Schizosaccharomyces pombe: one gene and its partner. The protein of the gene in region 2 interacts with the protein of the main gene of each other region in a biochemical or structural test. Each region holds a gene or a part of one and is shown on either strand. Other genes may lie near its edges.

Region 1 (4,560 bases), on a different chromosome or scaffold from region 2:
TGATGAAGAGAGTGAATCTGCGGATGAAGCATCTCGTCAACTAGTTTGGCAGGCCATTGAAAATAACGAAATATTTCTTGATCCTCATACATTGCGTCCGAATGTTGACTTCGCTGATCATGAGCCTGTTTCTATAGAACTTGCTAGACTTAAGGATTTCCATATTGCACTTACTGGTGATGTGTTTCGCTGGTTAGTTGATTATGCTCCTCTAAATGTTTTTCACCATATTTTACTGAAAGCACAGATTTTTGCTCGGATGTCACCATCGGAAAAGAATGAGCTTGTCTCGTGTTTCCAAAATTTGAACTATTGTGTCGGATTTTGTGGAGATGGCGCGAATGATTGTGGTGCTTTGAAAGCAGCCGATGTAGGAATATCTCTTTCTGAAGCAGAAGCGTCAGTTGCTGCTCCATTCACTAGTAAATGGTTTGAGATTACCTGTGTACTTGACGTAATTAAAGATGGGCGAGCTGCTCTAGTCACAAGCTTTAGCTGTTTCCAATATATGGCTTTGTATTCTGCAATTCAATTTATCACTGTCAGTATATTGTACACAACAAATTCAAATCTTGGAGACTTCCAGTTTTTGTTTATTGATCTTGTCATTATTCTTCCCATTGCGGTTTTCATGGGGAGATCTCGACCTTATCATCGTTTGGCCCACAAAAGACCTACCGCTAATTTGGTTTCCAAACGTATTTTATCTCCTCTAATCGGTCAAATCGTCCTTATTTGTATAATTCAATATATAACCTTAAGGATAGTACGGAGAGAGCCCTGGTATATACCACCACCTGCGAATAGCTCAGATACGAATATTACAAATAGCGATGTAACTGCTCTGTTTTTAATTTCTTGCTTCCAATATATTTTTATTGGAGTGGTTTTGAGCATAGGACCTCCTTACAGAGAAAAAGTTTGGAGGAACTATTCATTTACAGCTGTCGTTGTTGTTTTGTTGATCCTGACCGTTAAGTTAATACGACTTCAAAATCATAAAAACTTTTTTATGAAACTTTTCCAACTTACGCCTACGTCCAAAAGTTTCCAGAACTTTTTGATCTTCGCTGGTGTTATTTATTATTTACTCGCAGCCAGCGGTCAAAATTACATTTTCATTTCTATGACCAATTTTATATCTCACCTGAATAATCGTTTACTTAATCGCCGAACGAAAGTTTCGAAGAAACTATACAAACGCCTATTCGCAGACTTGCAAAATGAACAAGTTTGAGATATATTATCCCCCTTTTGTTGTTCAATAGATTTTTTTTGCTGTTATGTATAATATTAATAGTTACTATCCTTTTTACTTTATCATGGTCAAACAAAACATTTAATCTCTGGTGTTATAGAAATGTAGTCTGATTTATAACAGTAGTTTTGATGTATTTACAAGGCGACGAAGATCATTTGTTTTAAATTATACAAAAGCTGAAAAAAAGAGAGCAGTCAATTACCATATGACTCTGTATTGTAAAGAATATTGCAAAAAACAGATGAAGCGTAGAAGGATGGAAAAGTGAGTTTGGGTTTTTTTCTATGGCCAACTTTACTCCAGATCCCTAGGAGAAACCTGAACATGATCACGACCCCAAATGACACGAGAAGGGCTCCATATTTGAAGGATATTATCATCGGCAAGACTTCCAACCACCCAACGCTCGTTTGGACACCAACTAAATTCTGAGATGCGATTTGTGTGGCCTCCATGCATAAATAGTAATTCTGGAGAACCATCCTCGGCATCCTCCGGAGTCTGTTCCTCTCCAATCTTTTCTAAATCCCAAATACAAACACGGCGATCAGTTGAACTGGATGCCAATATAGGTTCATCATGAGGTGACCATTCTAACCCATATACCTCATCTTCGTGTCCTTCCAGGGTATGCAACCGTTGATATGGATTACGGAGGTCCCAAAGAGCTACTGTTTTATCAGCACTGGCTGTTGCTAAAAGATAGTCATTAAAGGGATTAATGGCAACGGCATTTATGGCTTTAGAATGAGCCTGAATAACTTTGGGAGCTTCTTCTTCTGGATTTAACCGAGTATCGTGAATTTGCAAAGTGCAATCATCCGACACCGATGCTAATAATGCCTCATGTTGAGGATGAAATTGAACATCGTTAACAATATCAGTATGACGATGATATTTGGCTATGGGGGAAATGACTTTTGTCTCAGAGGAAGTAAAAGATTGTGTCTGAACATCCCATAAACAGATAACTTGATCCTCTGCTCCTGTTGCTAGATTTCCAGGTAAATTCGGGTTCCAGCAAAGACCAAAACCTTCAGCAGTATGGCCCTTCAAAACTGCTTGAGGAAGTGCTTCACCTGTAGTTAAGGCATCATGACAAGTTGTATCAAAAATATAAGCATTTCCTCCTTCTCCCATGGTAGCGATGATTTCAGGCTTTTGAGGCATGTAACGAGCACGATTGACATCGCCATCGTGAGGGATTTTTTGTGAAATTTCAATCGTATACGAGCCCGTGGCCTGTGCTCTTCGAATCGTAGAAGGAGTAAACTCGGTGGTATCCTCATCAAAGTTTGGTAATTGCACAGAAGCAATCTGTAAATAATTTTGATCATTACCAGATGTGTGAGTGCCAAGAATAAGACGTTGAATAGAGTAATCAGTACCTGGTATTCTTCAAGAATCGAGTTAGAAAACTGATGAGATGGTTTGAAGTAAAGGCCAGTATAATCATAGCCTAACTACTTTGGCAAGCAACGTACGTTTTTTTGTCAGGAAGCCATTGAATTGTCAAAGAAGGCCATTCCAAAGCGTGGGTTATTACCAAGTCATACAGAAAGGGAACATTTTGTTTCCAAAGTTTGTATTCTGAAACGAGTATAATCGTCAGTAATTACGGCATAATAATATATATTAATGAAGAATTCCCTTTAATCATACCTTCTTGTATTGTTTTTTGTAAGTCTATCTCGGCATTGAGTTCATTATTCTCGAGAGGTGCATCCTGGACTACTTCCTCTGACATGTTTTGGGCAACTACACAATGGCCCAAACTAGATTGCCAAGTTAAAAGTTTTGGAGTTATAAGTAATTTACATTATTTAAAGATGCCCAAATAAATCTAGCGCACTCTTAAGTCTGAAATAAAAAAAAAATAAAATAAAATTCATGAACAGCGATATAGAAAACAAGTTTCAATGAGCGAAAACAAATTTGAACATGCCTCTAAAAACCATTACTTGATGCCACGTCTCCATGAAAACAGACATTCATAGTGAGAAGAATTCCTCAAACATCGTCTTTATCATGCTCTAATAATTATAAAACCATTTGGCAAAAACAAATATTATAATCTCAGTATACTTTGATAAACAGATTGTCATTATATTTACACTAAAAATAAAACTATTGAACCCAGCCATCAATGGGATATTTATACTGTTGGCTCTACGAATTGTTTTACAGTACACCGTAAATTTATTAAACAAATCATGTAGTATTGCAAACTTTGGGTACGTATCTAAACTAATCAAATATAAACTTTTTTTAATTAAAAATGTCTGGGAGACAATCCCATCCTTGACCCATGGAAAAAAGTCAACGACCGGGAAAGCCACTCAATTCTTCGCTGAAGACGGAACGGATGCATTTTCTTGGTCCGGAGACTCCAACCATCATACTTGACTTCAGGATTGATTTTACTTTACTTATATAACAAAGTAAGTTAAAACCTACTGATGATGGTGAATCATCAACTGAACAGACCCTATATATAGTAAATTTGTTGTGACGGTTTTTACCTTAGGTTAGGGTATTAGAAACGATGTTCTGGAGACTAAGTAAAATTTCATATGTAAACAATGGCTGAAAAGAGAAACTTGTGAAATGACTATGAGTTTTGGCTGATTTTAATTTATATGATTAGCTAGCTTTAATAGCACGTAGTCAGACTTTTGGGTACTTGTCGTGGAAACTTTAACATGCTAACTTGATAAATTATTCGATAACAGTACAATTCAAATCGTGTCTCTTATTTCTTTTAACCTCATCATAGCAATTTACTGATTTTAATTTAAAATATTTATTAAATATAGTTGTGAATTAAAAAAAAAAAATTCCCAGATGAGTACTTTCTTTCTAATGTTATTTATTTTGATATACTGAGGAATTTGTATACCGCATTGCCTTAAAATGCATGCCAACAGTGGTCTAGCTCGTTATTCGTCTCGACTTTTTTTTGGAATAATGCTTGCGTTTGCTAAGTATTTTGAGGAGGCAATTAATATCAGTATATCAATTATAAGAGAGGAATTTAGTATAATTGGAGTATATTTGCACGTTTTGAGTTGTTGATCGTAATCTTATTACTTCAGATGTTTTCATAGCGACTTCTGGTACCCATTGTATATTTATAATTATTGTAACAGTTTTTAACATTGCATTCTTTTTTTTTCTTGCTAAAGTAAATTCATCAAAATTTAGAGGTATTTCTATGAAAGATCTATCCATATCATGTAAATTTTTGTGTTGCCTACATAATCGAGCATCCAAACCTTGGTTGTCGGATACACCTTAAT
Region 2 (5,209 bases):
AAAAATGTCAGAGGCATATTTTTACTTTTCTTTCTTAAGGTTTCTTCGAACAAGTTCCAAAAATCTATAGATATGTTAGTGTTCGCACAATCAATGGAATACATTCAAAAAAACATACGCAGGATCATTTTGAATTCCAGATTTTTTAAATATCTCCGTGATAGTTTCAGCTAACTGCTTGAATTCCGGATCACGAGTAATCTTTAGGATAGTAAGAGGTGACGGTTTTGAACCAGCTTCAAGGCCGTATTTCTCAAAAAACTGACGAAGACGGCCAACCTTTTGAGCAAGTTCCGGATCATTAACAACTAATGAACTCATTTTCTCTTCAAGTTTCTGGACTTGCTCATCCATTACTGGATCCTTGAAAATAGTGTCGTCAGGTTGCGTAGTCGCACTTCTCTTCCATGTTAATATACTAGGAAACCTATTCCTATACAGAAGAGCATTGTTGTATGTAAGAGGCCTTCTGATAGTCAGCTGAGACAAATACTTCCAATATTTCATATTTGTAAGGTGGTGGTTAATTTTGTGTTCTAAAGAAGTATGAGGGATTAGGGAATGTGTCGCTCAGATAAGCTTGCTGCGGCAAATTAATACAAACTCTAAACGAAATGAAATCTTTGTTTTGGATACGTATTATTCACTCATAATTCTAAAATTTTGACTGGCAATATAATACTTTGATTCTTCCTGTTGTAGAACTATATTGTCTCTTAAAGGAAGTTAGTAGAGGATCTTAGTACAAGAAGGTAAATACAATAAAAACTGACATACGAAAATACATGAGGTTTTTTTCCATCGAAACGTATTGTTCCTGAAACAACAATTATGATATTCATATCATTACCCATGACCTGTTGACTATCGAAATCCTCAACTTTAGTTTTGGAGTATGGAAGATTAACTATCATAGAGGTAAATTCGGTTACTTGCATGGGTTTTCCATTCCATAAGATCAAACTATTTTCTCTGTAAAATTCTGCGATCCCATTTCTGTTCGTATCAAGAGATGAGTAATACCGTTGGACGAACTCCTGCGCATCTTTAATTGTTAGTTTATAGATAAAGCTTTAGTAATGCGGCATTTAACATACATTTTACACTCGACTCCATAATGATTCACAATGACAGAAATTTGTAGTGGTGTAAGTAGTCATTTAAACAGGTACATGTGTTATAAATTGAAATATTGTACTCATTAAGCGATATTTAAAGATAATCTTTGTTCAACACACTGAATGGATATTTCGGCTAGATATCTTTATGACTACGATTTTTACTTATAACATGAAGAGTGGAGAACAATTATGTGTACTCATTTGCCATACTACAAAAGCATAGATCACGTAAAAACTCAACGAATGATTAATATATTAGTAAAAAAATATATATTCGAATGTAACATGATAACTCGAAAGACAATTTGTTGTAAATGAAAACAAAAAATAAATATATGTTCGAAGAAATAGGTCATTAAAAGCCATGGTATGGCAAGCGAAGAAGATGGGAGAATAAGTGGTTTAAAGCTGAATCAACATTTTTTTGACTCAGAAATGCATTGGAAACAAAATGCTTTTTTACAAGTGCTGGAAGAATGAGGGTTCTGAGTGCTACTTCCTGAGAACGAAGTTTGTTGACTTAAAGGTTGAAAACCAAGATTAAAATGATGGGTAGAAAGATTAGGTCGAGGGGATATCATTGAAATTAATGAAATAAAGTTTCTTCGTTTTGTAGAATTGGAGTTTCGGACTTTTGACTTAGAAAAAGATCTACGTAAAGGAGTTTTAGGAGATGATAATAAAGGGTTCCTTCTTCTCGGTGAAGATAAAGTATCAGAGATGACGTGCAAAATCTCATTTTGTTCTATGCTTTTATGCTTGATTGTATCCAAACCACGCTGATCTGTTAATGTTCCTGATGAGTTTGGCAACAGACAAGATTTTTTTTCCAAAGCTGAAGCATCAACTTTTCTTGTTTTATCATTGATTTTTAGTCTCACGCATGACTGAGAGGGTATAGTTTCATTACAAACATTTTCCACAAAAAGTGAAGCTAAAGGAACTTCATCTGCAAACACACAATCTGACACCATTTCATCACGAAGTGATAGATTTTTAAATTTATAGATCTGGGGAGACTGAAAATCCTCTATATGGACTGGTGAAACAGCTTTTTCCCCTGGGTTGCCAATGCTTGAGTCTAATTTTTTTTCGTATCCATTTGACGCTGAGATTTCAAGGTTGTTAAATGTAGGATCCCATATATCATCTTTTGTTTTTAAAGCTTCTAGATGTCCATTATTAACAATAATTTCACCAGTTGCAAGATCTACTTCATCAGCTATATCAGAAGTGTCGCGTCCATATTTTTTGAAAAGAGATTCCAAAAAGTCGTTGTACTTCTTTTCGGACTCAATTCTTTTACAAAACACATCATCACAAGCCGTAGGATTAGTATTAAATTCGACAGACTGAAAAGACAACAGATGTGGACAAGAATAGTTTGGAGGCAGGTCAACGGCTTTCGGTTGACGATTGCACATGATTGAAAGTTAAAATCATTTGGTATTGAGAAATTTTGTTCAAAAAATCCTTTCCAATAAATTTCTTAAGGCAAAAATTGGAGATTTTCAGTTATTAGTAGGAAAGCGATTTCAGTAGTGGTTTATTAGTGAACGGTGCCATAACTGTAGACTTGTATTAGAGTTTCGTAACTAATTCACGAATGACTTTTAGATTTAATTTCTGTTAGAACTTAGAGATCAAAAAAAAAAGATAATGAAAAGTTCTTTTGAATAGTTTATGCAAAAGTGTAATTTCAATGATGGTCGCTTAACGCTTGTAAATTAACTCATTGCTCCAAAAGACTGATTTATCTGTTCTTGCACTAATTCTATACTGTTTAAGAATTTCTAAAATACATAAAATTAATAGACATACAATTTTGTAATAATAACGAACGCTGCGATACCTTGTGGATTCCAACGAACATAGCAATTCCACATTACTTTTTTAATGATAAAATGAGAAATCAACGATACCTAAAATAAAGAAAATAAGGATACTCGTTTTGGTGAATATTACTTTGCATCATTTGCACAATTTAATAAAAAAATCCCATAAGTTGAGCATTCCATTTGTCACATCGCCCCAAAGAAGCGTGACGATTCTTTGGCTTTCTTTCACAAATAATTCGTATTAGTTGAAAGCGTTCTGTTCGACAAGTTTAGCCATATTTTGATTGTTCATTCATGTAAATATGAGGATACGTAGCGCAGCTCCTCAATAGAATTCTTTTAGAAAGTGTCTATTGTACCAACTAGTAACTATTATCAATTCCATTACAACATAGAATTGGAGAAATCATCGCTAAATAATTAGAACAAAGGATGAATTGATCTCGGCATTGTTTGCATTCTTACTAAGTGCCAAGTGAAACAGACAATAGCGAGAACAATAGAAATGTTAAACAAAACGACAGAACAATTTGGACACGATAGGGAACGTATTGTAAAATAAACTATTTTTGGCTCTTTGTGACTTAGTCTCATGAACACAGTCTTCTATAACTTGAAGCAAAACCGAGTCGTTTCATGTTTCAGTTTCTTACGGTATGCTTGTTTTGAACAATTTCTTTACCGAAGCATTCACATGAAAAGAATTACTACACCATATGGAATATGACAATAGGAATTACTCATTCCCCTCCAACAATAAACGTACCCGTTACCTGAATAGCACAGCATGCCGATGAAACAAAGGAAGTTGAGTACAGCGCAACTCTTTCAACTACTCCATAATTGCACTTTCTTTAAAACACTACACCATTGTTTGAGCATTGTATAGTTCAAATACTCGAATTTCTTTGTATTCCTTCACCATGGATCCTAAGTATAAAAAACCGCATAGAGCTCCATATTTGTCATTACATTTGAAGGTTTCGTAAAGCAAGCTGAATAAGAAACTGCAATCAGAAAAAAAAGAAGGGAACGACGAAGACTTTGTTTTAGTACTAGTATTGCAATTGACAAATAGGTTCAGCAAGGAATTTTGATCACTTAACTCGATTTTTTTGAAACCTCTCTGATTTTGCCATTCGCTCGTCTACTTATTCCTCATTACCTTTTGACACTCTTTTGCTTTTTCATTTTTTAGTTTTTTTCAGACTAGTAGAATTTTGAAATAACTTCTCATTGCATTGCATCGCATTTCTCAATTTTTTATCTATCTTTTGATTTGAGTCTTGCTTCTTTTTAATACTTTCTTTTCTTCTTCTTTGAAAAACATTATTAATTATAATTTTTCTTTTATCGCTTGATCTTCCCATAATTCGTCATGTCGATTGCTTTGGCTTTCTTTATTCTCGTTTTGCTAGGATTTTCCTGGGCATCCCCATCTGCACTTGATGACACTTTTAACGTCAGTCGGTCAGTAGGTTTAATTTCATCTTCTAATTTAGAATCTTGCCAATCAAGCCCTCTCGAAGTTGGCAATATCTATAACTCAACCTCTGCTTCTGAGATTCTAAGTACCTTAGATGCCAAGTACATTACTATAATTGGTGTTATCGGGTCTTCCAACTCCTCCATTCAAGACTTAATTGACTCTGTTGGCAATTCTAATAATGCAGCTTCTTCCAATCCTACTTCCACCGTTACGGAATACGTTGACAGAGTTCAAACTGTTACAGAATATGTTACGTTGTCTTGTGGTCAAGCTTTCACTTCTACAGTAGACATTTCTTCTAGTACTAGTTCATCTGTTATCAACTCACCTACTGGTACGGCTGTTAGCTCTCAAATTTCCACATTATCCATGAGCCCTTCATCAACACCCGTATTTTCTCCATCAGCTAGCGTTTCATCGAAAGTAGCTAGTTCTGTTAGTTATGTTTCCAGTGAACCCAGTGACTCATCTTCATCCACAAATACAGTGATTTTGACTACATCTGTTAATTCCCCTGCTGTTAGCAGTTCGGAAACACTTACTTCTGTAAGTATCACTTCTACCGAATCGGCATATACTTCTTCATCCGTAGACATTGCAGCTTCAACTACTGCTTCGAGTACACTTCCTGTTAGTACTTCAGAAGCTACTGTTTCCTTTTCTACTGATATCCCCGCAACACCCTCCACTTTGTCTTCTCCAGCTTCAAGCTCGTCCAGCTATTTAGTGGAAACATCTTCCACTCTTACTGATAGTGTGTT

What was found.
Region 1: the proteins of scm3 (region 2) and mis16 form a complex in vitro, tested with the Schizosaccharomyces pombe proteins (one study listed by BioGRID).

Annotation. Positions count from the first base shown.
Region 1 is NC_003421.2:582,583-587,142, reverse strand, and holds mis16 (histone H4 chaperone, CENP-A recruiting complex CENP-A chaperone Mis16), read right to left. Parts: upstream 3,018-4,560; 5' UTR 3,009-3,017; coding exon 2,924-3,008; intron 2,852-2,923; coding exon 2,746-2,851; intron 2,674-2,745; exon of another isoform or gene 2,658-2,673; coding exon 1,556-2,657; 3' UTR 1,250-1,555; downstream 1-1,249. Other genes in the region: SPOM_SPCC1672.11C (P-type ATPase P5 type), read left to right, coding at 1-1,237. UniProt on the Schizosaccharomyces pombe protein: Regulatory subunit of the histone acetylase B (HAT-B) complex. The complex acetylates 'Lys-12' of histone H4 which is required for telomeric silencing.
Region 2 is NC_003424.3:1,859,270-1,864,478, reverse strand, and holds scm3 (CENP-A histone chaperone Scm3), read right to left. Parts: upstream 2,673-5,209; 5' UTR 2,546-2,672; coding exon 1,535-2,545; 3' UTR 1,347-1,534; downstream 1-1,346. Other genes in the region: protein dpc13, read right to left, coding at 22-64, 119-507; mRNA export receptor Nxt1, read right to left, coding at 717-1,045, 1,098-1,116; cell surface adhesion protein for conjugation Mam3, read left to right, coding at 4,338-5,209. UniProt on the Schizosaccharomyces pombe protein: Centromeric protein that plays a central role in the incorporation and maintenance of histone H3-like variant CENPA at centromeres.